2 linked regions of the Stegostoma tigrinum genome follow. The protein of the gene in region 1 purifies or fractionates together with the protein of each later gene. This does not show direct contact. Links are inferred from orthologs where the notes say so. Each region holds a gene or a part of one and is shown in the gene's direction. Other genes may lie near its edges. The genes, in order: lysine-specific demethylase 5B-like and pax9.

What was found.
Region 2: the proteins of lysine-specific demethylase 5B-like (region 1) and pax9 purify together in Homo sapiens (affinity purification with western blotting, with the first as the bait; 3 studies listed by BioGRID). This does not show direct contact. The link is inferred for Stegostoma tigrinum from reciprocal best matches to the Homo sapiens genes KDM5B and PAX9.

Annotation. Positions count from the first base shown.
Region 1 is NC_081374.1:48,015,104-48,031,687, forward strand, and holds the start of lysine-specific demethylase 5B-like, read left to right. Parts: upstream 1-9,407; 5' UTR 9,408-9,872; coding exon 9,873-10,019; intron 10,020-10,652; coding exon 10,653-10,730; intron 10,731-11,250; coding exon 11,251-11,373; intron 11,374-16,584. UniProt on the Homo sapiens protein: Histone demethylase that demethylates 'Lys-4' of histone H3, thereby playing a central role in histone code. Does not demethylate histone H3 'Lys-9' or H3 'Lys-27'. Demethylates trimethylated, dimethylated and monomethylated H3 'Lys-4'.
Region 2 is NC_081363.1:57,050,487-57,067,168, forward strand, and holds the start of pax9 (paired box protein Pax-9), read left to right. Parts: upstream 1-8,423; 5' UTR 8,424-8,564; coding exon 8,565-8,655; exon of another isoform or gene 8,656-8,786; coding exon of another isoform or gene 8,787-8,790; intron 8,791-9,828; coding exon 9,829-10,461; intron 10,462-12,262; coding exon 12,263-12,411; intron 12,412-14,439; exon of another isoform or gene 14,440-14,864; coding exon 14,865-15,087; coding exon of another isoform or gene 15,088-15,119; exon of another isoform or gene 15,120-16,417; coding exon 16,418-16,524; 3' UTR 16,525-16,682. UniProt on the Homo sapiens protein: Transcription factor required for normal development of thymus, parathyroid glands, ultimobranchial bodies, teeth, skeletal elements of skull and larynx as well as distal limbs.

The DNA of each region.
Region 1 (16,584 bases):
CACCACAAGTATACATCTAAACACTTCTTAAATGTTATGAGGGTTTCTGCCCTCTGCCATGCTAACAAGAACTGAGTTCCAGCACCCTCTAAATGAAGAAGGTTTTCCTCATATCCTCTTTAAACCTCACACCACTTTTCTTAAATTTATGCCCCCAGTCATTGATCTCTCCACCAACGGAGACAGTTCTGTCCCATCTATCCTGTCTACTTGATGTGTTTTACATGGACTTTAGCAAGGTTTTTTTAAGAGTTTCTCACCACACACCAGCCATGTAAGTAAGAGTCTATGAGGTCTAAGGCAAAAAAAATTGTATCAGAAACTGGCTGAGTGGCAAGAAGCAGACGTTGATAGTAAAAGGATGTTTCAGTGACCAAGTTTGTTTCTGATGGTGTTCCACAGGGCTTGGTCCTGGCACTCTTGTTGTCTGTGGTGTAGATTATTGATTTAGACTTAAATGTAAGGGGTGTCGTCAAGATGTTCATGGGGGACATGAAAATGATAGGCTGATAACTAGTGAGGAGGATAGCCATAATCTGCACATGGATATCATTGGACAAGTCAGGTAGGCAGAGCAATGGTAAGTGGAATTCAAGCCAGAGAAATCTGAGGTTACGCACTTAGGGGGTGCTAACAAATTATATTGGGATCCTAGAAAGGACTGAGGATCAGAGAGGCCATGGTGTGCATTTCCACAGATCCTTGAAAGTGGCAGGGCAGGTAGATAAGCGGGTTAAGAAGACAAATGGGATACTTGCCTTTATGGGCCACAGCATAGGATACAACAGCAAGGAGATTGTGCTAGGATAGAAAAAAACACTAGTTAGGTCACAATTGTAGTACTAGGTGCAGTTCTGGCCACTGCACTACAGGAAGGATGTAACTGCGCTAGAGATGGTACAGAGAAGATATAGCAGGCAGCTGCCTGGGCTGAAGAGTCTGAGGTCTGAAGAAGGATTGGATAGGCTAGGGTTGTTTTCCTTGGGGCAGCAAAGGTTGAGAGGGACCTGATAGAGGTGGATAAGATTATGAGGAGAATGGATAGGGTGGATAGGAAGGTACTTTTTCCATTAGTAGATGGTTGAACAACAGGGAACATAGAGTTAAGATAAGAGGTAGAAGGCGAAGAAGAGGGTTGAGGACAATGATTTCCCCTTGGAATGTGCTTTAACCCTGGAACTCACTGCCTGAAAGTTGGTTGATCAGAAACTCTTAATCAGTATTTAGATATGCACTTGCATTACCACTCCGTTCAAGGCTCTGGGTCAAAAGCTGGAAAACAGGATTAACATAGTTAGAGATAATGGGAACTGCAGAGGCTGGAGAATCCAAGATAACAAAGTGTGGGGCTGGATGAACACAGCAGGCCAAGCAGCATCTTAGGAGCACAAAAGCTGACGTTTTGGGCCTAGACCCTTCATCAGAAAAAAAGTTAACTAACATAGTTAGATCTTTGTTGACTGGTGTAGTTACAATGGTGTGAATGGCCTCCTACTGTGTCATAAACATCATTCTATAAGAAAGTCACCATCACACTGAACTGCTTCACTAGTACTTCTTTCAAGGGATCCATAGGTGACAAGTCTTGAATATCACAGACTGATAATCACAATCAGGAAGGTCCCAAATGCCCTATTTAGAAAGGTGTGAGTTTGATGGTTGAACTTGTTAGATTCACAACACACACACAGAAGTCATAACTGTGGGATTTGTTGCTATCTCAGGGCTTCCATAGGTACAAAGGGCAATTGACTGTACATGTGGTGCTAAGAGCTCCCTAGGGTTAGCAAAAAGCATTTATATTCAAATTGGGGTTTTACTCTCTAACTCTACAACTGGGCTGTGATCACCAGAAACAAATCCTTCAAGTGTGTGTACATGACCCAGAGAGCTCTCCCAATTTGTACACCCTGACTAACCTGCAGGTATCACAGGAGTTTGCGACCTTCAATAATTGTTGGATTTGATCCTTATTTTACAGGGGATATCCACAAAAGACCCAACTCATGAAACTGGTGCAAATGTGCCAGTGTATTAGTTCAAAACACTTGTTACTGTATGCCATTTGTTAGACCTCAGCTGGAATACTGTGTACAGCTCTGGATGCTATATTATGGAAATGCATTGAAGGCACCTTAGAAGCAATTTGCAAGAAAAATTCCAGGGTTGAGAAACTTAAATTATGAGGATAGTTTGGAGAACTTAGGATTGCTTATCTTGGAAAAAGAAGGATAAGAGGGTATTTGGTAAAAGATTTTAAAATCTTGAGGTGGCTTGATAGATAGGGAGAAACTGTTCCCATTTGGAAAAGGGTCAAGTATGACAAGGTATAAATTTAAAGTGATTTGCAAAGGAAGCAAACGTGAAGTGAGAAAATCCTTCTCGTGAGCGTTTCAGGTCTGGAACCTGAATGGGAGTATGGTATAGGCAGGTTCAACTGAGGCATTCAAGAGGACATTGGATGATTATTTTAAAAGAAATAATGTGTACAGATATGGGAAAAAGGCAAGAAAATTGCATTAATTCAAAATCCTCAGTCAGACAGCTGGTGCAGGAATGCTGGGATAAATAATTTTTCACAGATCACAGATGCCCTACAGTGTAGAAACAGATCCTTCAGCCCAACAAGTCCACACTGACTCTCAGCATCCCACCCTGACCCACCCCACCACACATCACTGAACACTAAACCACCTAGCCTGCACAACTTTGTGACTGTGGGAGGAAACCAGAGCACTAGGAGCAGTCCGACGCAGGCACGGGGAGAATGTGCAAACTCCACACAGACAGTCACCTGTGGGTGGAATCAAACCAAGGTTCCTGGCGCTGTGAGGCTGCAGTCCTAACCACCAAGCCACTGTGCCACCTGTTTTCTTCTGTAACGTAACACTTCTCTGATCCAGTGAATACTGGCCAAGACTCAAAAACAGCAAGGAATTAGCAGATACTTGTCTCGGTAAATATGAATTTCTGCTGTTTGTGCCACTCAGGTAGGGTGTTTCAGTTCTTGCCAAACATGTACAATCCCGCTTGGGAACTGGGAGAGGAATTTTTTGAAGAGGAGGTGGATGGATCAGATGTTTCTGCAAATCAGAACAAAGGAAAAGGTGATGATTCTGATGAGGGAGCAGATAGTGCATTTGCCAAGGCAATTATCTGACATAGCTGAAGAGCTTTTGACATGTTACTGCCATCAAAATCCAAGCAGAATGAAGCATCACAAGATCTCTACATAATGATGGGTTATCAAGCTGGTTGAGAGTCCAGAGTTCTATAGTGAGTAAGGGTATTTTTGTTTAATTGCATTATACTTGCGTTTGTCACTGCATTAAAGTTGATGTTTTCAGATTATAGGTTGAGGTATGTTTACAATGCATATGTGTAAGTGCATGAAGTGTGATAAATAAGATTTGATGAGGTGCAGGTGCAACTAACCACTAGGGAACATGATGTTGTGGTGATAATAGAGCTGCAAACACGACTGAGTATTGATAATGGGAGTCTTCAGTTATCCTATTATAGGCTGGGATAGTCTGCGATAGGGTTAGGGTTAGGGTTAAAGTGAAGAAGTTCTCAAGTATGTTGATAAGAATGTTTTAAAATTTCTGTATTCGTCGAATGGGGTGTCACTGGCAAGGCCAGCATTTTTGCCCATTCCCGAATGCCTTTGAACTGAGAGACCTTCTAGTTAGTCATCACATTTCTGTGTTTCTGGAGTTGCTTGTCTGCCAGAAGAGGTAAGGAGAGCAGATTTTTCCCCCCTAAAGGGCATTAGTGAACCAGACATAGTAGGAACTGCAGATGCTAGAGAATCTGAGCTAACAAGGTGTAGAGCTGGATAAACACAATAGGCCAAGCAGCATCATAGGAGCAGGAAAGCTGACGTTTTGGGCCTAGACCCTTCTTCAGAATTTCTGAAGAAGGGTCTCGGCCCAAAACGTCAGCTTTCCTGCTCCTATGATGCTGCTTGGCCTGCTGTTTTTATCCAGCTCTACACCTTGATATCTCATTAGTGAACCAGATGGATTTTTGAAACATTTTATGCCAGGTTTATGGTCACTATTACTTGAACTAGCTTTCAAATTTGAGTGTCCAACCTTTGCCAAGACAGCTTTAGCAAACACAATTTCGGTGCAATTAAATATTTACATGATCTTTGTGCATATGCCAAATACCCAAATACCTCTTACCATTACTGGTGTTCCTAGGCACTAACCTGAGCAGGAGCTTTCTGTCTCTGCACCTCAAGGCAAATCTTTTAGGATGATCGTGGTCCTTCAATAGTGGCAAATAAATTCTGAAGCCAATCAGTACTGAGTACAAATCTTGAGATGCTGCATAAACTCTTCTATTCAAGAAGGGACAGAGGCAGAAAACAGGAAACTATGGGCCAGCCATGTGGAAGTCCATCTTCAATGCACAGTAACAAAATGCACTGCAGCAACTCCTCAAGCTCCTTTGCCATCAGCTTTCAAACCCACAACCTCTAATACCTAGAAGGGGTGATAAATGATTGGAACACCACCGCCTGCAAGTTCGTCTCCAAGCCACACACCATCTTATCTTGGAAGTATATCACCATTCTTTCACTGTCACAGGGTCAAAATCCTGGAGCTTCCTCAAAGCACCGTGGGAGGACCTACACAACACAGAGTGTAGCACTTCAAAATTTCAGTTCATTAACACCAGGGCAATTAAGAATTGGTAATAAATTCTGGTCTAGGCAGTGATGGTCAAAAGTCCCGAATGCAAAAAAAGACCATAAGCGAGGGTAAGATAACAAAGTGTGAAGCTGGATGAACACAGCAGGCCAAGCAGCATCTCAGGAGCACAAAAGCTGACGTTTCGGGCCTAGACCCTTCATCAGAGAGGGGGATGGGGAGAGGGTTCTGGAATAAATAGGGAGAGAGGGGGTGGTGGACCGACGATGGAGAGAAAAGAAGATAGGTGGAGAAGAGAGTATAGGTGGGGAGGTAGGGAGGGGATAGGTCAGTCCAGGGAAGACGGACAGGTCAAGGAGGCGGGATGAGGTTAGTAGGTAGGAAATGGAAGTGCGGCTTGAGGTGGGAGGAAGGGATGGGTGAGAGGAAGAGCAGGTTAGGGAAGTGGAGACAGGCTGGGCTGGTTTTGGGATGCAGTAGGCGGAGGAGACGAGCTGGGCTGGTTTTGTGATGCAGTGGGAGGAGGGGACGAACTGGGCTGGTTTTGGGATGCAGTGGGGGGAGGGGATGTTCTGAAGATGTGAAATGTCCTAAGGCAATATTTGGAAAAACAAATTCTCCTGATGTCCTAGTTAATACTCCTCTCCTAACCAACAGCACAAAAATAACTAGTCCATCTTGGCATTCTTTCTGAGAGCTTGCTTGGTGTAATTTAATGTTGTGTTGCTTGCATTAGAATAGTGACTACAGTTATCAACTAGCTGCAAAACACATTGGGGTTTCCTGAGGAGGTGAAAATACACTATATAAAACTAATTCACTAACTGTTTGCTTCATTCACTTGAGACAATTTATTACCAATTTACTTTAAAATCATTTTATAACCTATCCACGCAGTCAATGTTGTAGGCTTCTATGAGTTTGGGTGTAATAGGAGCAGAAGTGAGCCTGGAACATCACAAAACATAAAAGAGGTTGCTCACAGGATTTTCCACTTCTAATCACTTTGAATGTTTTTGTTACTTGATTACTACATTGTAAGCAACGCTCACTTTTTTTTTCCTGTGAATTAATTCAATCTCTTCAGAGGTAAATTATTTTAGACATCCTCTTGTAGCTGCTTTTGACTGTGTCGTCATATTTTTCAATAAGGTCACTTTGTCATTTCAGTTTAACAAGGCCTGGCCAGCATTCATGAATGCATCTACAACTATTACAGCTTTCAATCTTTTGTCTCTGTTAGTACAGGAAATCAGATGTTTTGTTTTGAAACCTTTAAACTGGTGTCAAACCTGCTTCATTTCTGTTAAAACTGTTGTGCATTCTTTGATCATTTCTGATATTGTTTGGTATGGTGTTATGGTCTTCTCTAGTGGACATTTTAATTAACTATTAATTATGCTATTTTATGTTAACCCTCAGTTTTGACACAATAAGCATCATGTGGGCTTTGCACCTATTATTTTGACAAACTTCTTAGTCTATGCCATGACATATGTGAAGGTACTGACGAGAAAACCAGTAGTGTTGTTGTGAAGTAATTACACAGGTTGAACTTTCAATGTGACATTGCCTATTTCCAAGACTTTTCTGGGGGAGGAAATTATAACAGTAGGCTATTTGACAACTTTCATGAAAGTTATACTAAGAGAGTCAGTGGATAAGTTGAAGGTATAAATAAAAGCAGGATCTTGTAAAGATTGGTGCTTAAAATGATTACTCAACATTTAGAAGAAAAGGAGGAAAGCATTATATTGAAGAGCGACCATTTAGAATTAGCTAAGACTAAGTTAGAAATGACAAACAAATTAAATGAAACAGAAAAGAAGAAAAATGGAAATCAGAGATCTTGAAATGGAAAGTGAGGAGAAAGTAAAACAAAGAAAGATTGGGAAGATAGGATAAAGAAAATGAAAGAGAAAATAAATTAAAAAGCCTAATGCTCAAAGGAGAGAGAATTCAGACAATATGAAGACAGAAATATTGTAAAGGAATGAGGGAAGTAAGAAGAGGTAATAGCTTAAAGGATGTTTCTGGTTCAAATGAGGGTTACTTGATTTAACTAAATATTCATATTTAGTGCCTAAATTTACAGAGGTTGGAGAAGAAAGATGTTTCATCTCATTTGAAAAGGTGGCTATGAAGGTGAAGTAGGCAAAACAGTTTGGGCCTTAACTTTATAGTGTATTTTTACTGACAGCTATAAGCGTGTACATGGGTTTGCCAGAATAACCATCTGAAATGGTTAAAAAAGTAATATTATTCATTGTATTTCCCTGATGTTCCTCAATTAGATATTTACAGAATTTGTAAAGTAAGATGCAATGTCATGGAATCAATGGTTTTGATCACTGAAGTTAGAGAAAAGTTTTGAAAACTGCGAAGGGAAGTATGATTGTAGAAGAATTCCAAAATAGTATCTCTCAGTTATAAATTGGGGAATAGTCACATGGGATCCACAAAGAAATTGGAGAAATAGAAAAACTGAGGATGAAAAAAACAGCAGTTTTAGGGAACAAACAGAAGTATGCCAAAATAATAAAGGTGAACACAAGAGGCATAAAAGTAAAATAATATGATTTAATTTTAATAAGACTGGACATACTAAATTAATTGCTGGAAGTTAATCTTACCGCCATTATGTGTAATATTTATGTTCTTTTGTCAAAAGTATATTCATAGCCTCACGTGAATACATTTGGTGACCTAGCCCCACAGTAACCAAATTATAAAATTATACTTAGAGTCAATCAAGCATCACACTGGGATCTAACTTGACCAGTATTATCAAAGATAGGAACATAACACTATGATAGGCCTTGAAGAATTTATTGCTATGATATGATTGACAGAAATGCTGGTTTAAATGCAAAATAAGATCAAAATATGTACAAGCAGATGTAGGCCATTCATTCTATTCAGTCTGCTCCACCATTCAATGAGATCATGGTTGATCTGATAACCCTCATCTCCACTTTCCTGCCTTTCCCCATATCCCTTGATTGTCGGACTGATTAAAAATCTGTTTATCTCAGCCTTGAATATTGTTAATGACCCAATCCCAACAGCCCTCAGTGGCAAAAAAAATCCACAGATTCATTACTCTCCAAGACAAGAAATGTCTTCTCATCTCTATCTCAAATGTGAGACCCCATTTTCTGAGATTATGCTCCGTGGTCCTAGACCCTTCACCAAGGTGAAAGAACTTTTCCATATCTACCGGGTCAAGTTCCCTAAGAATTTTATATGTTGGAGTACAGGCCCAAGCTGCTCAATATCACCCTGTAAGAAAATCACTTCATACCCAGTAAGCTAGCTTTCTGTGGTCTTTCTTTATTTAAATAATATTCACTCCTCTACTCTTCCTGCAAAAGGGCATGACCTGACATTTCACCACATTATATTCTATTTACTAAGTTTTTACCCACTCACTTAAGCTGTCTATATTCTTCTACAGACTCACTGTGCCATCTTTACAACTTGCCTTACCACCTATTTGTGTCATCTGCAAAACTGGTGATAGTACATTCACCTTCCTCAATTAAATCTTTAACATATATTATAAATAACTGTGGATCTAACATTGATCCCTGTCACACAACACTAGGTACAAGTTGCCGGTCTGAAAATGCATCCTTATCCTGACTCTTTGTTATCGATTAGTTAGCCTACTCTCAATCAATGCCAAAACACTTCTTCCAAAACCAAGAGATCTTATGTTATTAAGTACCCTAAGGTGTGGTATCTTACCAAATACCTTCAAAAGTTCCTAATAAATCACATCTGCTGTTTCCCCTTTATCTTTCCTGTTCGTTACCTCCTCAAAGAATTCTAGCAAATTTGTCAGGCATGATTTCTCCTTCATTAAGCAATGCTGACTCTGCATGCTCATTGTAAATGCACCCTTTATAATACTGTAATATTTACCCAACAACAGACCCATCTTTGTTTTCTTCCCTTTTTTGAAAGAACTGGCAATTTTTCCATCCTCTGGACTTTGCAACCATCTCAGGATTCCTGAAAGATTACTACCCCTTAATCCACTATCTCTGTTGCTCCTTCCTCTAGTACCCTAGGGTACATCCTATAAGGCCCAAGGCACTGAAATCAAAAATTGGAGAAAGCAGAAAAAAGGTCTCTGGTCCAGCGACCCTTCTTCAGAGGGGATCTACCAGCTTTTAAGACCCGTTAGTTTCCCTACCAGTAGTTTCCTCTAGTGTTATTGCATTTTTTTTCCCAGTCATTTTTTCCTCACTGAATATTTAGTAACTTTAGAATTCTAAGAGTGTCTTCTACGCTGAAGACTTATGCAAAGCATTCATTTAACTCCTCTGTGATTATGTGGTTCCCCATCATGATTTCTCCAGCCTTGTTCTTCTATGTTCACTTTGAATCTCCTCTTCCTTGAGAGGTGTGGGGGAGGGAAGAGTTGCAAGGGTGGAGATGATGGGGAGAGGTGTGGTGTTGGGGAAGTCAGAGATGGAGGGGGGGGTTGGAAACGAGGTGTGGGATGTGAGAGGCATGGGGTATGGGAGGACTGGGGTGCTGTAGGGGTGGGGGTGGGCCAAGGCTGCTGACACTCGCGCTCCTCGCTGGGTCCCTGCTTGTATCCTCCCTTTACTGCCCAGCCAGGGCCCCTGGTCGTCAGTAGCCAATCACCGCCGAGGAGAATGGCTTTTAAACAAAGAGTGCCGGAATCAGCCGTCGCCTCACGATTGAGGTGTTGTATCAATGCGCTCGATATAAACAGACGGTCACTGGGTTGCTCCGGTTCGATTTCAGACCCTCAGTGTGTTGTGGTGTCGATGCTGGGCGGGCAGAGCTCGTTTCGCAGCGGTTGTGCGCTGTGCGTTGGGGCGCACCGGCGGTGTGTTCGCGCGAACTGGTTGCTGCGCGGAAGGAGCTAGCCGAGTGTGAGGCGGTGTTGCGCCGTTTCAGAGCGAGACGGAGCAACGGAAAAAAAAGGGCTGGTGATCGGCTCGAGGCCTGGCGGGGGGGGGGGCCGCGACACCGAATACCGCGTGAGGGCCGGGGCGCCGCGACACCGAGCTCGGTACGGGGCCGAGGCGCCGCGACGGTGAGTGCAGCGCGAGGCCGGGGCGCCGCGACACTGAGTACAGCGCGAGGCCGGGGCGCCGCGACACGGAACCGCCAGTAACCGTCGCCCGAGGCCGGGCCGCTATCGCACTGAGTTCCCCGGCAGGCAACACCATGAACCCGGCGGTGGAGTTCATCCCCCCGCCCGAGTGCCCGGTCTTCGAACCCACTCCGGAGGAGTTCGCCGACCCCTTCAGTTTCATCAGCAAGATCCGGCCCATCGCCGAGAAAACTGGCATCTGCAAAGTCCGTCCGCCACAGGTGAGGCTCCTCTCGCAGGACGGGCTCTCTCCCCGGGATGCACGCAGGGAGGGAGTTGGCGGAGTCCCGGCCATCAGCACCTGTACAAACTTCCGAGGTGGCAGTAAAGTTTTCAATATGGCGGATCCAGCAGGGACTTCCTTTGTGTGCGAAGAGGGAGGGGAAAAGGAAGGTGTGGAGGTGGTGTAGGTAGGCGGCGAGGTAGGTAGGAGGGGGGTTGGGAGGGAAGGGGAGAGGTGGGACAGTACGGTGGGGGAGAGAAAGAGGGATGGGGGGGTGGGAAGTAAAGAGGGGTGGAATAGCAGCAGAAGGGGGGGGGAAGAGAAAGAGGGATAGGAAGGAAAGGGGAGAGGTGGGATAACAACGGGGGTGGGGAAGGAGCGGTGGGAGAGCAGCAGAATGGTAGCTGGGAGGAGGGAGAGGTTTGGAGGATGAGGTTGCTGGCAGAGGGGATTGAAAGGTGGGAGCTTTGAAGGGAGAGGTGGGATTTGAAGAGGCTGGGGGTAGGTTAGTTGAAGTGGGGTGGGGGCAGAGGAGCAGGCAGGACATGGTATGGGTGAAAGGGTGGGGAAAAGGTAGGTAGGCAGAAGGTAAAATTGAGGTCGAAGATCAGAGCCTCCTCTTTTGTTGCAGAACTGGCAGCCGCCCTTCGCTTGTGATGTTGATAAACTGCACTTCACTCCACGAATTCAGAGACTGAATGAACTTGAGGTATGTTGTCATTTTAGTCTGTGAATTAGGGTATTATACCTATTTGCACTGATTGCATTGTGTGACAGGTTTTTCTGCAAAATTTGTTCTGCATTGAGATTTTTGTATATCATTTTTCAAATTGTTCCCTGATCCCTACTCCTGTACCTGAATTCTGGCCCCAGCCCAATATTTCTGTAAACGTGCAAGTTTCCTAGTCACATATACTCTTGCAGTAATTTGGATTGTGCTGTATGCAAGTTGTCTGTTCTACAATGTAAGGCAGTTGTTCACAAGGCTTTGAAGCATTTTATGCCATCCTTAAAAAAAAAATGGGTGCTGTATAAATCTTCACTTTTGTGTATGCATATTCTCTTTGCCTTATATACCTTGTATACAAATGGTATACATCTTTGTTACAAATGTAACAAAGTGTATATATTGTGTTGTATGATTGGAAGTCTATGCATTGCCCAATAGGAATTTTAAAAACAATGTGCAATCTGTATAGCAAAAGAATTACTTTCTGATCTGTTCACAGGCTCAGACCAGAGTAAAACTCAATTTTCTTGACCAGATAGCAAAATTCTGGGAGCTACAGGGCTCAACATTAAAAATTCCACATGTGGAAAGGAAGATCTTGGATTTGTTTTTACTCAACAAGGTAAGATTTATATTATGTCTCTGGCATTGAGTTGAAGTACATGTCTCAAGAATGTACACCTGCCTCTATCTCTGACATCATGTCTTCACTCTGCCCAGCAAACTCCATTAGATCTGTGTCTTATTTGTCCACTTGTATGCTATCCGTCATGTTCTTGCCTATTCAGCCTATCTAAATTTTTTTTTTGCATCATAGCATCAATCATACTTGCAACACTTTTTTTGCAATTAACATTGTCATCCGCAAACTGGGCAATATAACATGATCCTCATTCAACTCATTGTAGGTTCTAAACAGCTGTATACAAATGCTGCTGCTAAAGTAGAATATTATGGTTACTGTTCTCTCTAAAGGTTCTTTCACATTAAGATTATTATCGTGGTCTTGTCCTTGTTTATTGCACAATACTAATTATAAAACAGTTGGTTTCTTTGGTTCCTCAACATGCTGCTCTTGGAAAACCATCTCCTGCACATTCAAGGAATTTGTTCTGCAAAGACATTAACTTTTCTCCCCTCACCCCAATTGGCATTAATCTAATGACTATTTTTACCATTTTCAGTGTTTGTTTCTGGCTTTTCTTTCAGCCCATGGCTGTAAAATCTTACTTTGTCGATTGATTAATACGTCAAGAGGAATTTGAAAGTTCTATACATAGCAATACAACTTGACTGTAGTGAATAGAAAAGTAAGTGATGCAGATCTGTAGTGAGAAGGCTGTGATGACATTGATGGTCAGGGTAAAGATTTGAATTGCTGCAATCTCCACTACCAGAAGGAGTACCACGGGAAGACACCCTCTTTTCAGGAACAAAAGCAGAAATTAGTGGAAAAGCTCAGCAAAAAGCCCGACAGCATCTGTGAAGAGAGAAAATCAGTGAACATTTTGGGTCTGGTGACCCTTCCTCAGTACTGATGGTAGCTAGGGACCTGTCTATTTGTATACAGAAGATTGGGTGGGGGGTGGTGGGTTAGGGAGTAAACGATAGGATAAAGACTGGAGTGAAGGGAGAGAGAAGAGCAGTTGATAGACAAGGTAGTTGATAAAGATCTGGCTAGGAGGGTGAATGGCTACTCATGGGGATGGTTAGTGACTAGCAATAGGTAACCTGCCATTACACACTGATCAAAAAGGCCTTGTGTGTAGGCTCGGGGGTTAGGACCAGGGAGATTTGAGGTCCTAAAATTTTTGAACTTGATATTGAATCCAAAAGGTTGCAGGCTCCCCCCAGTGGAAAATGAGATGTTTGTCCAGTTTGCACTGAGGTTTGCTGCAGTGCTCCAGCAAACCTGAGTCAGATGTTGGCCAGGGAACAGGCTAGTGTTAGTGGTTGCCCCCTCCTATAACCAAAAGAAAAGTCAGAGGATCACAAGCAAGGGAAAATGAGTGACCTTGTTCTGCAGCAGGTGACTACAAGGGAGGTACGTGATTGGTGAGTAGGTAAGGTGTCTCTGCCTTCAGCTCCTGGAAGCTTGAGTTTCAGAGCTGGAGGAGGGGACAGTGTGGAGCATTTGTGAGGCAGAGTATCACAGATAGTATGTGTAGAGAGATGACCATGCCACTGGCTCAGATTTTGCAGGCCGGAAGGAAACTGGTGACTACCAGCCAGATGGGCAGGTAGTGCAGGAATCTCCTGTGACCATTCCCCTGCAAAACGGGTATACTGTTTTGGATACTGCTGAAGGGAATGACCTCTCCAGCATTGGCAGCCAAACTTGTTGGCCCACTCTTGTTCTGCTGCAGAGGGGAGGGGTTAACAAGTCAATAGTCATAGGGGACTCAATTGTAAGGGGAATAAATAGGCATTTCTGTGGTGGCAAATGAGACTCCAGGCTGGTACGTTGCCTCCCTGGTGCTAGGGCCAAGGATGTTTCCAAGCAGGCACAGAACCTTCTGGAGGGGAAGGGTGAATAGACAGTGGTTGTGGTACACATCAGTACAAATGACAGGCTGTTTTTAAAAAAAAGTCCTAAAAGCAGAATGCAGGGAGCTTGGAAGAAAATTTAAGAAATCTGGTAATCTCAGGAATACTACCTGTGCCTTGTGATAGTCAGTAGAAACAACAGAATATATGTTGGACAAACACGTGGCTGAACAGATGGTCTTGAGGGGGGTGGGGGGGTTTGGATTCCTGGGAAGGTAGGACCAGTTCTGGGGGAGGTGTGACCTGTACAAATTGAATGGGTTACACCTGGGTGCCAACCAGGACTCCTAGGATAGTGTTCGCTAGAGCGGTTGGGGAGGGTTTAAACTAATATACTAAGGGGATGGGATCCCATATAAGGAGTCACAGGAAGGCAGCAAGGAATGAAATAAAAGGTTGCAAAGTGATAGGCAGAAAAACCAAAGACAAAATCCAAATGGATTTCTTGAGAAAAGAGCTCAACAAACAGCATTTAAAAAGGCAGGCTTGAAGGGTTTCTGCCTTAATGTATGGAGCATCTGCAATAAAGTGGATGAGCTAATTGTGCAGATAGATGTAAATGGATATGATATAATTGGGATTACAAAGACATGGCTGCAGGGTGACCAGGCCTGGGAACTGAATGCTTCAGGGTATTCCGTATTTAGGAAGGGTAGGCAAAAAGGAAAAGGTGGTGGAGCAACATTGCTGGTTAAAGAGCAAATTAACGCAGTAGTGAGAAAGGAAACTAGCTCTGACAATGTGGAGTCTGTATGGATAGAGTTGAGAAATACCAAAGCGACAAAAACATGAGTGGGTGTCATGTCTAGACACCCAAACTGCAGTTTGGATGTTGAGAATGGCATAAAACAGGAAATTAGAGATGCATGTGATAAGGGAATATTGGCGTTCATGGATGACTTTAATCTGCCCATAGATTGGGCAAATCAAATTAGCAACAATGCTGTAGAGAAGGAATTGCTGGACTGAATATGGGGTGGTTTTCTTGACCAACATGTGGAGGAACCAACTAGAGAATGAGAGGGAATCACTGTCGCTCTAGTTGTGAGATCCTTTTGGGGATGAGCGACCATAACATGATGAAATTCTGTCAAGGTAGAGAGTGAGTTGTTAATTTGGAGACTAGGGTGCTGAATCTTAATAAATGAAGCTATGACTGTGTGAGTTGGTGGAGTTGGCCTTGCTAGATTGGGGAGAGTTACTTAAAGGGATGATAGTGGATAGGCAACGGCAAACATTCGAGGAATACATGGGGGAACCACAACTTTTTATTCCAGTCTGTTGCAAAAACAAAATGGGTAAGAGGGCCAATCTGCAGCTTATAAAGGAAATAAAAGGGTATCCGATCCAAGGAAGAAGCATACGGATTAGCAAAGAAAGTAATAAATCTAAAGATTGGGAGCAGTTCAGAATTCAGCAAAGAGGGTTGAAGGAATTGATTTAAGAAGGGGAAAATAAGACTGAAAGTAAGCTTGAAGGGAAAATGAAGATTGGTGCTAAGAGCTTCTGTAGATACGTGAAGAGCAAGAGATTGGTAAAGACAAATGTAGTTCCCCTACAGACAGAAACAGTGGAGAATGTGTAATGAGTGACAAAGAAATAGCTGAGCAACTGAATTCATGCTTTGGAGAATGAAGTGTTTAGTGAGAAGGAATAATTGAAGGAGTTCAATATTAGTAGAGAAATGGTGCTGTGAAAGTTGATGGGTTTGAAGGCAGATAAATCCTCCGGGCCTAATAATCTACATCCCAGATTACTGTCATTCCCCTACAGACAAACAGGGGGAATGCATAATAGGGGACAAAGAAATGGTTGAGGAACTGAATTCCTGCTTTGGTCCTGCCTTTTTGTAAAGAGGGCACAAATCAGATAGCTGAATTATTGGAGGATGCAGGATTTCGTGAGAGGGAAGAACTGAGGGAGATCAGTAGTAGAGAAACGGTGCTGGGAAAACTGTTGGGATTGAAGGCCAATAAATCCCTGGGGCCTGATAACTACTCTGGGATGTAGATTAAGGAAGTGGCTGTAGAAATAGTGGATGCAATTCTGGTCATCCTCCAGGACCCTGTAGACTGAAACAGTCCTTGCAGATTAGAGTGGCTGCTGTCACTCCAATATTCAAAAAGGGAGGTAGAGGGAAAACAGGGAATTATAGACCAGTGAGCCTAGTATTGGTAGTAGGGAAAACTCTCAAATTCATTATCGAAGATTTTATAGCAGAGCATTTAGAAAGCAGTGGCAGGATCAGACAGTCAGCATGGATTTATGAAGGGAAATCATGCTTGACAAATCTGCTGGAGTTCAATGAACATGTAACTGGTAGAGTTGATGAGGGGAAGCCAGTCAATGTATATTTGGACTTTCAGAAGGTGTTTGATAAAGTCCTGCATAAGAGATTAATGTGCATAATTAAAGCGTATGGGATTAGGGGATGTGTATTGAGATAAATAGGAAACTAGGTTGGCAGAGAGGAAACACTCTGAATTAATGGGTCCTTTTGAAATTGGCAGACATTAACTAGTGGGATGTCACAGGTGCTGGGGTCCCAGCTGTTTGCAATATATATTAGTGATTTGGATGAGTGAATAAAGTGTAATCTCTCCATGTTTGCATGAGATACCAAGTTGGATGGAAGTGTGAACTGTGACAAGGATGCAGAGATCCGTAAGCATGATCTGGACAGGTTGGGCGAGTGGGCAAATCAATGGCAGATGCAGTATAATTTGGATAAATGTAAGGTTATCTGCTTTGGAAGCAAAAACAAGGAAGCTGAGTACTATCTGGCTTTAAATTTGGAAAGGGGTGTGTATGGTCGAACCTGGATGTCCTTGTGCACCAGTCTCCGAAGGCAAGTGTACAGGTGCAGCAGGCAAAGAAGGCAAATGGTATGTTGGCCTTCAGAGGTTGAGTACTGTAGCAGGGATGTGTTGCAGTTGTACAGGGCCTTGGTAAAACCACATCTGGAATATTGTGTGCAATTTTGGTATCCATTTCTGAGGAAGGATGCTCTTGCTTTCGAGGGAAACTTTCATGGACTCCCAAGCTGATTCCGGGGATGGTGCAACTGACGTATGAGGAGAGATTTGACTTGGTGAGGATTGATTTTGCTGGAGTTCAGATGAATGGGGGGGGACATCTCTCAGACTTGAAATTTTCACAGGACTATATAGAGTAGATGCAGGGAGGATGTTTCTGATAGTGTGTGCATGCCCAGGACCAGGTGTCACAGCCTGAGAATTTGGCCTAAACCTTTTAGGATGGAGGTGAGGAGACATGTCTTCACTCA
Region 2 (16,682 bases), on another chromosome or scaffold:
GTATGCTGATAATCTGAAATCGTTGTTTGTTAACGCCTACCTGCCAGCTGTAATCAGGAGGTGGCGCCAGATCCCAACAGGGTTTCTTTCAACTGAAACGCCGGGTTGGAAACAAGCCAACTCTGCGGTTTTGGAAGAAAATTGACGGTAGAGACGATTTTCAATGAAAGAATGGCACAGTTTATATTCAAAAATCGCATGTTCAGTGCAGATACAGCAAAAAAAAAAACCCGAAAAGACAAGCATTAATGATAGCAGCAGTTTGCCAAAATTGTGTTTTAGTCGCAATTAGGAAAATAATTGCAACGTTATGTTAATTTTGAAATGATTTAAATACAGGTCATATTCGCAAGTTTTATAAAAGGTAAAATGTTTATACAATGTAATTTCAAGACCACATATTGCGGTGTAATAGCAGGTGTGGTGCTTGGCTTGCTGTGCAGCAGAATGCTGGCATATTCTGAAAACGCTGCTGGAAATTAATTCTTACCAAGTCCGTCACTCCTGCAATTTACCTTATAGTTAGTGTCATGCATCCGACTAAAGAAATGAATAATCAGACTAGAAAAAAATAGTAATGCAAATATTTAAGGAGGCGTATTAAAGGTAGTCCTTTAGCATCGGAGCATCATTCAGCAAATTCTGGCCTGTGAATATTTTGCGGAATTGCAATTTATTCAGGAAATTCTTCGTTGCGGCACTTAAATGACGCAGAATAATCTCCATTGAGCATTCCAGAAACAAACTGTTATGTAATATAAGGATAATTTTGAATAAAACGGTTTGGGTGTTGAGTGGTGACCCGAATCCATGTTGTACAATATCAATTTAACTTAATTCAGCAGCTCGCAAGTATTATCTGCACAATTGAATGTGTGCTGATAACGAAGTAGGCTCTGAGTTCCCTATTAGTAAGGACAGTAATTGCGTGATTGCTTAGAATGACAAGTTGCTTTATCTTGCTTATCCTAACTTTGTAATTCCATTAATTCACAGCACGAACTTGTTCATATATAAATTTAAACGTCCAAATTATACAAGTGGATGACAGCTATCTCGTACCCTTCGCAGAACATTTTTCCGTTTTGGTTGCCTTTAAAAGAATATAACAAAAAATGCATTTGTTCTAAATTACAAGTTGTCTTTCATTTCACTATCACGAAACTTAATTTACTCCTTATGAACTACTATTCCGCAAACTTTCAGCTGCATAAACATTCCGATATTTATATACAGCATTGGAATTAATATGTTTTTGTTCTTGTTTTATATCTTCATGAATTCTTTCTCTAGAATATAATGTCCATGTGTATTTATATTATTCCCGCTTACATTGTTTTATATCGCTAATATTCAACAAAAATTATGCACATATGTTAAACATTCTAAATATATTCGTTTTACGCACATTTTTTTCTTTCCTAGTATGAAACTGTTTTCAATATTGTAAATACAGTTGTTATTTTTGGAAGGAGCCCCGGGGAAATTCGGTTTTACCTATGTAAAGCTAAATGCAAAATATATGGAACAACGATCTTATTCACAAATTTCACGGAACTTGTTTCAGTCATTTATTTCCTGTCGTTGTAAAAAAAGAACTGCCTTTTTTTTAGAAAAGGTTTGAAAATTTCAGAAAACTGCAGGAAGGCATTTGCTAAAAATTAATATTCATTAGCTAGAAGGAAAGAGATAGAACATCCAAGATGCCAATACTGAAAGATACAAATCAAACTAATGAGTTCAGTGTGATCTATTGCGCATGAAATTGCACATGCTTCCAAAATCAAAATAAGACTAGTTTTTGACCGTTGATGCTTTTTACACCCTTCCAATGACTAAACATAATGAGAACTGAAGTGTTAAATTTGCGTGACATTTTTATTTACTATTCCATGAGTTACACTTTAATGGGAGGCATTTGAGATTCTAAACTTTTGCCGTTGGTCAGTAATTTACCTGTGAAAAACGGAATGACAAACATACAACATACACATGACTGAATACAAATATTACATCTAGGTACCTTGCTCTTTCGCCCGATTTAAAATAGCGGTGACCATAGCTGCTTTACTTGGCAAGCATGCTTTTTTTTGTCATTGTCTGTAATACGGGATGATTTCGGACAGGTTTCATAAAATTTTCCCAGCGCTCATCAGCATGACACGAAATGGTTTGCTTCAGAAAGTGTTGTCAGATAGGACTCCTGGCCTACTCATGGCAGTGACGTTAAATTTGAAACTAGCGAAATGGACTCTGAGGACATTTTCCACCCACTTATGACCAACCAGATACCACGCTAGCCATTACACCTTATAAGCACCGACACAGCGGTTTGTGCAGCAGAAATAGGAGTACGTTCGAATCCTATTCATATTTCATCGCACAGTTCGTATATTTAGAACACTAATTTTATAGAGTCACAGAGTCATTAAGCGTGGAAACAGACCTTCACTCCACCCAGTCCACTCCTACCATGATCCAAAACTAAACTAGTCTACCTACCTGCGTTTAGCCCATATCTGTTCAACCCTTTCCAATTCATGAACTTATCCAAATGTCTTTTAAACATTGTAGCTGTACCTGAATCCACCACTTACCTTCACAGTTCATTTCCACACATGCTGTGTAAAAATGTTGCCTCTCTTATCCTTTTCAAATCTTTCTCTTTTCATCCTAAAATATGTCCCCTAGTTTTGAATTCACCCATCCTAGGGAAAAAAACCCCGTCATTTGCCTTATCTACATCCGTGATTCTGTAAACCTTATACAGTCTCTCTTCATCCTCCTAAGCTCCAGTGAAAGAAGTGTCAGCCTATCCAGCCTATTTTCATAAGCAAACCTTCCATGTCTGGCAACATCTTGGTAAATATTTTCTGAACTCTTTCCAGTTTAAAGACATCCTTCCTACAACAGTGTGACCAGAACTGCACACAGTTCTCCAGAAGAGGCCTGACCAACAGTCCCAACTCCTTCACTCAAAGGAATGAGCAATGAAAGCAAGCATGCTAAATGCCATCTTAAACACCCTTTCTAACCATAAAGCAAATTTCAAAGAATTTTATACTTGAACCCTTAGGTCTCTCTGTTCTACAACACTACCTGTTTAAGTCCTGACCTTGTTTGTGTTACCAAAATGCAATACCTCACATTTATCCAAATTAAACCCTGTCTGCCACTCTTCAACCCATTGACTCAATTGATCACGGTTTCCTTTGGTATCATTTGCAAACTAACTAGCACTGCCTACTATATTCTCATCCAAATCATTTATATAAATAGCAAACAAAAGTGGACACAATAATAATCCTTGTGAACACTACTGGTCACAGGCCTCCAGTCCAAAAATAATCCTCCATCACTATCCTCTGTGTATCTAATTTGCAAGCTCACCCTGAATCCCAAGTGATCTAGGTTTATTAATTAGTCTACCACGCAGACCCTTGTCAACTGCTTAACAGAAGTCCAACTAAACAATGTCTACTGCTCTGCCCCATCAATCTTTGTTATTTTTCTTAAAAAAACTCAAGTTTTTGGGACACAACATTCCTTGAACAAATTTGTGTTAACTATCCCTAAATAATCGTTGCCTCTGCACATGCATGTAAATCTTATCTTTCAGAGTCACCTCCAAAAACTTACCCACCACTAATGCCAGACTCACAGATCTACAGTTTTCAGGCTTCTCCTTATTGCCTTCCTTAAACAATGGCATAACATTAACCACCCTCCAGTCCTCTGGTACTACACCTATGTTGATAGATGATACAAAGCCCTGCAATTTCGTCTTTAAATTCCCACAACGTCCTAGGATACACTTGATCAGGTAACCAAGAATATAATTTAGAAAATCTAATGTTTATTGATATATGCTTTATTAATTTATCAGTAGAATGTTTGTAACACCTACACTGTTGTTTTGGATACGAAACAAATTGTGTATATTCTTTGGAATTTACACCACAGGCATCGATTATTCAATTGGTCAAATCCTTTTGGACGTGCTGTTTCACCCATCAGCTGGGAACAGACTTTCTGAAATAATAATGATATTCAGAATACAGCATGCTCGAAACAATTTTTTTTGAATTTGTAATTCGAGCAACATCCTGATGCTTCACTTCTAAGGTTATTACTTTACGAGACAGGCATAGGTTCTGCAGCATGGTTTTAGAAAGGTGTCCAGCAGGAAAGTGATTTCAGTTGTTCTTCTCATAATTTCAATGCCGACTATAAAGCTGAAAATGGTTTTGTTACCGCGAACGATCAAAGGAGGGAGAGTAGAGAAAATATTGTGCATGTTTAATTCATAACCGTCTCTAATACTAGTTCTAATACCTCCTTTGATTGTTTAAATATCCATCCAGATCACATGAAGAAGCATTACGTTTTGCAGCATGATTCTTTAGTTTATAACTAAACAGACAATTTGGAGCACTATGTCCGGCGTCTTCTTAGTTTCGTGCATCATAACATTTTGCTTACCGATTACAGTAGCATTATTTAACATGACTTGCGAACTCGTAAGTTTCAATGGAACTACAGCTAGTTTTGAGGTGATATAGAATTTGTAGGACCTAATTAAAGTTGAGATTTTTAAAACTCGAATTTGAAAAAAAATATCATGCATATGTTCTGAAATAACATTTGTCGCATTAGTAACGAAATCCATTAGACTGAAAGCACGGCTGTGATAATTTTTATCCGATAGGATCAACTTCCCGTTGAAGCTACGTGGGCGGTGTAATGTTTTTAAATTGAGTGTTACCTGATAGGTCAGACCGTAAACTATATCTAATGGATCCGAGCCTATCTCGAACATTGCATTCAGTTTTGGGCAATTAACCTCAGTAAATATATATATATTAATTACGGGAAGAGCAAAGTGCATGTCCACGAGAAGCATACCAAGACTAGGAGAACCATATTATGAAAACGGGCTCTATAAAATATCTTTCCTTCATTTTAGGCCATAAAGGGGCAATCCAGTCGAAGTGTTCAAATGATAAGGAAAGCCCATAGAGGTGATTTAAATAAAAAACAAAGAGCTGGGCCTTTCTGGCATGAGACCAGGAAACATTTATTCACACATGAGGGGCAGTGTGGAATTCACTCCCCGAAATGTTAGTTTCAATACTGAGAGAGAAAGATTTTTATTGGTAATGGTTTCAAGGGCTATCGAGCAAAAGCCGATAAATCAAGTTGAAATACAAATGAGCCACGATCCATTTAAGTACTGGAAAAGGCGCAAGAGACTGCGTTGTCCATCGATGTTTTAAACCCACGTTCCCCCGTTTGTTGCATTGTAACGCGGTTTGTTCATATGTCCAAATATACTATGACGCATTCTAAATAGAATTAACCTTTGACGCAACTGCAAGCTTAGATAACGGTGATAACATATTATTCAGACAAAACTTAATTTACTTTTAGGAAGCACCACATATTTGGATCAATTAAATTTTGTATAACTCGAGTGTCATAGTTGGTTGCTTTAGAAATAAGATTTGAGCTTTATGTTAAACGGTGACTTGAATAATAGTTAATCCTTGATTAATTCACTTTACACTTGTTGAATAGTCTATTTTAGAAATCTAGCGACACCCTGTTGTACGTGAAAAGCAGATACAGTAGATTTCACCAGAGGGAGACAGCGAGAAATCATATTTAGCTTCGTTTTATCAATCTTCACACCTATTTCTTGAACGCTAGCGTGTTGTGTAAAGATCTCCACGGTCAATGACAACTTGCAAACATTTTTCGGATTTATTAATATCAATTATCTTTTGAAATTCGTCATCCAAAAACGATTTCAGATTTTGTTTTGTTTGCGGCCCAGTGATGCGTTCACTAATCTGGCTGCGACAGTTTTGTTTCTTAACACGATTTTGTAAACCGTGGTAGTTCGTTTCACTTTACATCCAGTTTAAATGTCAAGTTGCCTATTCGAAAACCCCCGTCCTTTTTATAGTCATCTTTTCAATTCTTTTGAGAAAATACTCAAAAAAACTTCAAGGGAGACATTGTCTGAGACACTGCGCTTCAATGAAATTTGCTGTAAATATTTATTCCTATTATTTCCAATTATTTCAAATAGGTGTTTGAAGTTCAATAAGTATTTTATTGGCTTACCTATTGGATTGTGGATGAAGGACATGTTTTTATCCCGAAAGAATCTGGAAAGTTTGAATGCCGCATTGTAAAGGGAAATTTAAAGTTAACATAAAGCGTAAATTAAAGAGTGGAAACACCAGATATTCTCCCAAAGCTACATTTAAAAAAAAGAAGAAACCTGGTGCGAACTGTTACCATTAAATAATGGAGAAAATTGTTTTAAAGTTATAATGAATGCACTCTGCGGTATTTAGTCCAGCAACGTGCATGCTTGGACATTCAAATACAATTTTCACATTTGGAAATCAGCAGCGTATTTCTAAATGTATTGAAAAACCATTCTGGCCTTCAAAACGTACTGTTCCGAAATGAAGCAGCCAAATTCAAAATGATTTAATGCTTGCTTGCAGAAACAATTGAGGATTCATCCCGTTTGTGTTCCTTTGCCCTTTAACGGGCCAGTGTGCATCTGACCTTTGTCATTTAAGACCACACTCAGCACCTCTATGGAAACAAGTTAAGCACGTTCAACCCGGGTAAACATTTATGCTTTCTCACTAGAGAGCAGCCTTGTCGACAAGGATTCTTCCTTCTGTCCGAAGTTCCAGCCTCACACGCGGCCCACAGATAGAAGGAGAGGAGAACAGAGGTCCCACAGTTAGTTCCGAAGGAAAACAGGATACAGACTCAGAAAGACAACGGGGCAAAGACAGGAACATGTTCAAAAACAATTACAGAAAATCAGCAAATTGAGAAAAGAAACGTAAACCGATAGAAAGAAGCGAAGATCGGCCGTCTTATCGAATTACAACATGCCCAACACCCATCAAAAACAAATAAGAGGAAAGAATTGTCACCTGAGAACTTAAACTGGGAGACTTTGCAAAGAATACAAAAGCAAAATACAAGGGAAACTGGAAGTCTGAAGTCAACAGGTCTGACAAAAGATCATTTTCTTGAAACCTTCCTTCTACATCTTTACTTTCTTCGTGCGCTGCCGGTTTTATTGAATATTGCCAACATTGCTGCTTTTATCAGCAGAGTTTACTCGGTTGAACTGTCAATCACTATAAGAAAATTCTTAAATTTTTTTTCGTACAGGCTATAATTTTAGAAAAGTTTAAAACGCCTTCACCTCAAAGCCATTAAATAGTTCAACGCTATCCTTAAAGATCATTAAATGAGTTATGTTTAAGTAATAGAATTTTATTGACACCAGAACCTACCTGGCATCTTCAACATAACATTATCAAATGAACTAATCTAACAAAAATACTTGTGCATAATTAAAATGACGTATTTGACTGTTACTTGCAAATAAACATTAAGAACTTTGTAGGTATGCTTCACCTTCAATAACACAGAATCCATTTCAAACCTGATTTTCTGCCGGGTTTGGAACATACCGCAAAATATAAACGGTGGGGTAAACTATTACGACAAAGATAAATAGATACCCCCAGAAAATTAGTCATGAATTTCTTTCTTTTAAAAAAATATAGGTCGCAGTAATAAAACAGCATAAATTCGGGATTGACGTTCCACTTGGCAATTAAACAAAGGTAAAGATTAGTATTTTCATGAAAGGAAGTGATTCTCGCTAGTCAGTATCGCGCAAAGGTGGACTACATAAGCAAATCTTGCGCTGAAATTGAAATGATGGACATTTCGTTTGCAAAGACTGCTTGGTGTTAAGTCATTTATCAGCTCTATATTACGTCATATTTTGATTCAAACCGTAGCATGATACAATACATTCTAATAACTAATCAACTAATGCAAGAATATTTTCACTATGCAATCAATAATGAATTATGAATTTATCTTATTTTTACAAACATCGTTAAATAAGCTTCCAGCGGCTAACAGCAAATTAAAATGGGAAGCTACATGTAATTATTTACTCTAACAAATATTTAGTACTCTTGTTACAGTGAAAAAAAATAAAGAACAACCATTTTAATTATTAATTTGCCGTGAAAAATGTTGGTCGACTTTTTTATGAGACATGGCATTCACCAGTAACTAAAATAAAATGTGGGCTGAAACTTACTTTGGAATAACACGAACTTACATGATCATTGATTTTAAGATGCATTTTTAAAATAAATAATCTATACACTTATAATGTTGCTCTGCGAGGGAAACAGAACTTACAATGGGAACTTACCGGTTGAATGAACAATTCCATTTAAAATAACAATATTAGTTTAGTACAATTTGCAATTTATTGAAATATTTAAGTAATATCTCCTTCACATTAACAGTCTACCAAAAGCTTCAAGACGGTGGTCAGCCCGAGAATAATTCGTATGAGCAACTTCCAGGTAGTATTGCCAGGTCACGTCCATCCACCAATGAGTCAATGGGATTTTTATCCTCCCGCCTCTTCCGTCATTGCCGAAGGTGTGTCCATGGTGATTGACAGACAGAGTGTGTAAAATCCATTTCCCATGCTGTGCTTTGAAATGCAGAACCGAGCCACCTCTCCCGAGGAAAAGGGAAGCATTTTTACTCTATACATGCTCTTCTATAACTCCGAAGGTGAGATCAGTTATTAAGCAGCACTTATAAGCGGATTCCAAAGCAATCTGTACTTCAGGGGATTTGAATTCTATTTGAAACGCTGACATATTCAGCAGGAAGCTTTGAGGATCACTTGAGTAATAACTATCATGGGTAAGTAGTCTCTATATTTTACATTGCTGTCAACAGATGCACAGTCGATCAATAAAGCTAGCATTAGCAAGCACTAACTTATGTTTCCACCATTCATATTAATTGAAAAAGTACGCTTTAAGATCGAGCTAGTCACGCCTAGTTAGATGACTACGTGTTGGGATGTTTATCTTGTATTTAGGGAAGTTAGACCGAGTTTTGCGGAAATGTTATTTTTGGACAATTTACATTTCATGGCCAACTATTGGAGAGTCGATGAGTTTGATGGAATTATTCAGATGTGTTTTGTCCTCTGGAAAACAAGGTACAATAATAGCCAAACGAGCCAATTAGCAAACACTGCAAACTGAAAGGAGAGCGGAGGGTAACTTTCAAACATAGTCGTTAAATATTCCCGGGGAGTTACCATTCCTCCTCTCAATATGACAGAAAAATACATTCTGAGCAGAAATGAAAGCTCGTAATTCAATTACATCCAGGTTTTGAATCCACGCTACGGTTTTTGTTTTATTTACATCTAAACATTGGAGAAATGAAAACTCAAGTCTAGGGATATGAAAATAGAATGACATTTCGAAAAACAATCTCATGGTCGTGTAAATATTTCTTTGTAAAGAAACGACAGAAAATGAAGATTTATCAAACAAACGTCCACAAAATCAATTCAGAGACAAACCTTTTGCCATTTAAGAGCTCTTTCGAATAAAAGCTCCGAGCGATTGAAAAAAAAATTCCCGCAACGCTCATGCAAAAGCTATCGAGTGCAGATGGCGATCTCAATTTCAACTGTTGTGCCTATTAGTGGTTGACTTCCACTCGGAAATGTCAGGAACTACGTTAGTACCGAATGTACGATTTTGAGTCGAATGCAAACTTTACACAGTGCAGGCCTACCCCACCGATACGGTCCATAAACGTAAAGAAGTAGAGCTTGTCAAAAGTTGGTTAACAGAACAAAAATAGATCCGCTGTCGGGTTAACGTGTTTCTGCAGTTAACTTTTTGTTTGAATGCGCCTTTTTGTTCTATTCCATACCAGAACCAGCGTTTGGAGAAGTAAACCAGTTAGGAGGTGTATTTGTCAATGGCAGACCACTGCCAAATGCCATTAGACTGCGGATAGTCGAACTGGCTCAACTGGGGATTCGACCCTGCGATATCAGTAGACAGCTCAGAGTTTCACACGGTTGTGTCAGTAAAATTCTGGCTCGGTACAACGAGACCGGTTCCATATTGCCCGGTGCGATCGGAGGCAGCAAACCCAGGGTGACGACCCCCACAGTGGTCAAACACATTCGAGCTTACAAGCAGAGGGATCCAGGGATTTTTGCGTGGGAGATCCGAGACAGACTCTTGGCTGATGGAGTCTGCGATAAATACAACGTCCCTTCAGTGAGCTCCATCAGCAGAATCCTACGCAACAAGATCGGAAACTTGTCGCAGCAGAGCAATTACGAATCGAGTAAAACTCCAGCGCACCCGTCTCCGCAATCGGCTCTCCAGTACAATGCGATTTATTCTTATTCGAGTCCCATAACAACGGCCGGAGGTAAAATGCCAGCGTCGCCCGGTGTACCCGCAATCCCAGGACACGTGGGAATTCACAGGACCTGGCCTTCATCACATTCTGTCTCTGACATCCTGGGGATTAGAGCAATCATCGAGCAGCAAGGTAAGCGGCAGCAATCCAGCTATCAGTCGTCCAGTGCCAAAGGCCCAGCTAAAAGAATTACAGCATTAAATATGTTGTTTGTACTTTACCGTTAAATTTAGTTGGCCCCATGGATAATACAGAAAAAAACCCTCTGTTTAGTGAAAATTCAGCTTTTACTGTTTCATATTTTAGACTTACCCGTACGTTTTCTGCCTTAAACCCACTAACCCACCTTTTCCTTCCATGTAATTAGAACCTAAGCACAAATTTGTAAATTTCAAGTCACCCTGTAACAGTTTATTAATTTCATTTCAGTAGCTGTTACAGTGACAGCCATCAAAACCAAGACTTCACATTTAATTTCAATTCAGTAGTTTCAGATGTACGCTTTTTATCGACATGTATTTAAACGCTTTCGTATGAGGAGACGAAGATCTGTGAACTCCATTCTACCCATTTACAGTGCTTCAATACATGTTAATTTCTAACGCATTCAGTTTTCGCAATCTAGTTAACAAAGCAAAGCCAGGCCGCTTCCCACTAGGAAATGTCCACTCCAGTTGTCAAACGACATAATTATTTCCTCTCTCAGCATCGGCTGATTATAATGGTCTCCTAGTTATACCTTGCGTTTATAGTAGTTGGTCACCGATTTTGTTGACGTTTTCGCGAAGGTTTGTGCAGTAGCATTCCTTCAGGCCACTGTTCAGAGATAGATTGCGCAGCTAATAAGTCATTAGTAAAATACTATTTTAGATTATTTTGCTGTTTCTGTGATACACGCAAGTATTTTTCGGATCAGTTCGTTGGAGTCCCCTCTCTGTTGCACCTCCTAAATCACAATATCATTTCCACATTTCCACGAAACATGTAACAAATCACTTGTTGGAAAGTTGCATCAAACAATGACATGGGTATCCGGGAATCGCCCAGGGGTTTATTTAAAACAGATTTAGTAGTTGTGTCGTTTTAACCCTACGATGTAAAGAGATGACAACTGCTTACATTTACGATAGTGCTACCTGGAAAATTATTATCGGCTTTAACCACCAACATCAGTTTTCCTTTTTGAAACCATCACAATAACACATCTTGTTCTGGACTAAGAGGAAATATATAATTAAAGCTCCAATTGCATTTCCTACATAATGTATCGCTTCAGGCTACAACTAAATACATGAACATAAAGTGCATTTAAAATGAATCCTGTACTTATGATTTTGGGGAAATTTTGGTAAAATAATTTAATGGCTTACTTTCACGGCAGAGAACCATGAAGAGAGACCTGATACAAGACCTACTTAAAACGATATCAGTAACCCTAAATATCTGTAGAAATAGTGAAAGCTCGTAGAGACATAGATTTGAAAACAGTGTTTACAGAAATTCACAATCAAATAAAGTATGTGAAAATTTTTACAACATAATTTCCAAGGACGTAGATTGAGTATATTTCAAAAATAATGTTTCGAAATGCACTGTTGGGGAAGTAACGCATATCAGAAATAATATTCAAACACTAATCGCGAAACAATTTGTGGAAATACATGATATACAACTGTTGCCTCTCTGATTTATTAATTTGTGCCATATTGGATATGATCCAGACTGCTGAGAAATGCACACTGAACTCGACTAAATCCGATAAGTTTAAGCAGTACAAATAAGCGGAATGGTATTCCAGTAAACTTCATCTGGCCGTCTGCACCAAATTAAAACAAAATGCCGGAATGATAAAGGGATGAAAAACGATGCGAATATGATGACTGCTGCAAGGATTCTGATTCAAGTTATGTGATATAAATATTTTTATTGTTAGGTGCTATTCCCATTAGTGACAGCTCTTCCTATCCAACTAAAGTGGAGGAATGGAACAGTATAAACAGGAGCCACTTCCAGTCCTCAAACCAGGCTGCAGTGAATGGACTGGACAAGTCCCCACTGGAGCAGGAAGTCAAATATACTCAGGTAATTGTAGTGTGCCTTTCCTCTCGACTGGACAGATTACAGCGTTTCCAGAACTCAGAACTACAAAAATAAATACGTTTGAACAATTATAACCTAGGTGTAATTAGTGCTTTAAATTCCAGTGACTTGTACACAGTGGGAACTTCTAATTAGTTTGTAACGTTATGTAATGTGTAGTAAACATTTTTTAATCAGAAGGAATTAAGGGGGAATATAAGGACGACATTTAGTTGGCGTTTTACATGGCATTAGATACGTCGCTGATAAATCGAAATAGTAACTAAGCCTGGCACAGATGGATGTGCCAAATCGCAGAACGAGAACAAAAACATATAATAAACATCTTGAAGGGGCGGGCGAAGAGGGGGGGGGGGGATCCGAACCATTTCTGTATATAATCAATAATTTTATTGCTAATTGTAGGATCATAGGACATTTTCACGATGCTGAAGAAATTAAGTAGCCGCTGTAACAAAGTAAATCAGCAATAAACTCTTTAAATATGGGAAAACTGAATTTATCATTTACACAAATTTACAATGAATATGTAGTCCGGTGTAATTGGTGTAAAACAAGAACTAGGCCTGGGAACGCAGAAGTGGATTTATACCAGATTCAATCACAAGCACAATTTGGTTTCCTCGTAATATTACTACTTTTTCTTAAAATATTAGAAAGTCTGCCATTTGATGAACTTAATCGTCCAATACAGAATGAAGATCGACTGATAAAGTACAGATTTATACACAGCTGTTTAAAAAGTTTGGGTAGGCGAGAAGGGGTGGAGAAACGTGGTGAAATGTCAAAGAAGGATTAACTGCTCAGACATGCAGGTATATTCATGACTATTAGCTTTATGTTACAAGTATTCGCAAGAAATTTGGCGTAAGCTCCTTTACGACTAGAAATGATTCTAGCCCACATCCTGATTGTTCAGTGCATTTCTTTTGCTCCACTGAAATAATCTAAATAATCTATCAACGTCATTGTCCAATTGATCCCATCCCGTCCCCAAGAAATACCGACAATTAAAAAAAAGGCAGAACAGAATCAAACAAAGACACTGGCACAACTGAGCAACAACAGAATGTATTTTATGGTGGAGGAAAGAACTATTGAAACGGTGTTCCGTCCCAATATTTTCATTAAAAATTAAAATTGAAAGAGCAGAAAGCTCGGCCCGCTCCTTTTACCAGCTCGTCTGATCGTGTCCAGCAAGTTTAGTAGTGTCTAATGATAGGCAAGATCATTGATATTTATACATTGAAACTGATCACATTGGACGTATCTGATATTAAAACGAAAGTGATCATGACGTATTTCAAAGATAACAAGGTGTAGAGCTGGATGAACACATCAGGCCAAGCACCATCAGAGGAGCAGGAAGGCTGACGTTTCGGGCCTAGACCCTTCTTCAGAAAATCATTTTTTTCTGAAGAAGGGTCTAGGCCCGAAACGTCAGCTTTCCTGCTCCTCTGATGCTGCTTGGCCTGATGTGTTCATCCAGCTCTACACCTTGTTACCTAAGATTCTCCAGCATCTGCAGTTCCTACTATCTCTTATGACTTATTTCAAATATGTGCCGGGGTGAAAACCTATATTTCAAATCGATGCGATATGGCAGGTTATGAAAAGTAAACATCATACTCTCTTTGGCTATCCACGCGGTTTGTATTATTCTGTCGTTGTATAATATTGGTGTCAATTGTATTTATGCAACAGCATATACAACGGGCGGCAAAACTCTGTTTGGCCCCGCATTTTTGTTCAAGGACACTGCATGAGGAAACATTGTGAGAACAGTCATCAGTGTGATCTGCGCCTGGTCTTAAGCTGACCTGCACTTGGCCATTATTTTCATTGATACAATAATATGTGTCAATTGTTATGATTCACCAAAAACCTCAAACATTAATTTCACTTCAAAACAGAATCCAACACATTCATGACTTTTAATTTGGGGATCTTGTGATGAATATTTTAAATACCAACACAATTTAATCTATTTCCTATTGTAGTTAGATTATTATTTCCCACATTTTATCAGTCACTTAATCTTCGAATATTCACATATATTTAACATTTTAAAATGTCACTCTTTATAAATCAATCGACATTGTGCATTGGTTTCACTTAAAATAGTACATCCGTTTTCGTATTGGTAGTATTATCTAATACTTCCAGATAACTATGAAGTGGATACTTCTATACTGTTAAGGAATACAGTAATACATAAAATAAATTGGCACTGTTGGTTCAGATTTGTCATTCATGCAAAATTTTACATCAACGTGGCTTAAGTTATAAACATACTTCATGTAATTTTTCATGACATAGTCTTGTTGTGCATTCTGTGGTACATTCTGCTAACATCAATAACATAATACAAAGTAATTATAGTTGGCTTATTTTCTCTTTATTAAGATAATTTAACTTTTTTTTTAATCTTCCAGGGTCCTAATGGTCTGCCTACAGTTAGCAGCTTTGTCTCTGTTCCAAGTATGGCTCCTTATCCTCCACCTGCACAAGTATCTCCCTATATGACATACAGTGCAGCTGCCTCCAGTTACATGGCAACCCACGGCTGGCAACATTCAGGTGGCAGCACACTACCAACTCATAGTTGTGACCTTCCCACACCACTGCCATTCAAAAGTATTCAAGCAACCAGAGAAGGTAGCCATTCCATTATAGCCTCCGCATTGTAGTAGTTAATTACAATACAAAGCAGTTTAATGCCAACATAGCATTAAAGAAAGTACTTTGATCCAGGCAGGGTGAGATGCACATTTTATGGAAATTCAAAAACTTTGACTTTTTTTAATTCAGATCACTTTGAATCTCCATGAAATACTAGCTCGATCTCTCTCATTTTATCACTGGAACCCAGTCTTCTGCAGGACACAGATATTAACACAATTGGCATTTAAAGAACGTGAAGGTCAGGACTGAAGCCCAAATTGAGTACAAGGAAAACTTATTATCACTATATGCCTGAGACAATGATTCGAATCTTAAAAAGTGAGCATTTTCATTTGAGTAAGGAAACACAGTGTTCCGTCTTACTTTCTCTGAGAGGACAATTTTTACATTCATTCACAGAATAGCATCACCTCTAGTTACAAAGTAAATATGATTTGGAAAATCCCAAATTTATGCATAGCAAGGAAATGTGATGGCAAATGTCATTAAGTGCCATGTTAAGGGAAGGTGGCAATATTATTGGAAATTGTAATAATAGATTAAACGTAAAATTTCAGAGCAACAGATTTTCAAAACATCATGCTATTATAGGTACAAATACAGTTGACTAACTAATTTGAACTTGTCACAAGTATCCCAGGTCATTTAACATTTTTAATTTGTTGATCCAGGCTCCATTCGAAGGCTTTTTTAAAAAAAAAGCCTATTTTAAATACTTTGCAAAAAATATGCAGATTATTGTAAAAATATCCAATGTATCGATTATTCATTCAGATTATTTTATGAGAACAATTCTATAATGTGCTGTGTTGTTTCTAATATTTGGAGGAAAACAGTATCAAGAATTATGAAGAAAATTTTCACGGACTTTTGCACCAATACTTATACTTCAATTGAAAATCTGATCCCACGTGGTGTATGCTTTGCAAAACTAAAAATAAATACATGTGTTTATGTAGATAGCATTACCTTCTGTTAATGAAATAACATCTAAGTAATTGGACCCACAGAACAAGGCAAAGCATTGTAATTTAATTAATTAGTAAGGTAAGAATTGATTGTAGGGAGAATTAATTATGGAATAGAGATATTCTTCTTTGTAAATACAAATAAAATGGCAAAATTTATTTTTGTATTATTGTGTAAGACTCTTCGCCCTAACTGTTACTGTTAGGTTTCTGGAAAACATATTCATCAATGGCAGAATGCCCATACACTTGAAAAACTGGACTTTATTTTATTATTTTATGCACTTACAGTAGAAGGTTCAGCATGTTTTACGAAGGACATTTTCTTTCTTCAGCAGAGGACACAAAGTCAAACAGCCCTCCAAGTAAATCTACAGGATCCTATGCAGGCTCACAGGGTCAAACACAGCTAGGGTATAAAGTTAGCTATTTGAAGACCTGAACAAATGTCTTAAGAAGTTGATCAGAAGGTTCAAGCTTCACGTGAAAGCTTTAAATGGACTCAAATCGTGGACTTATAGCGTAACCACTGTGAAAAGCAACTTCTGCTCTAGATGATGGCTTTAGCATTGACCCTACAATTCAGATGAAAAGTTAACA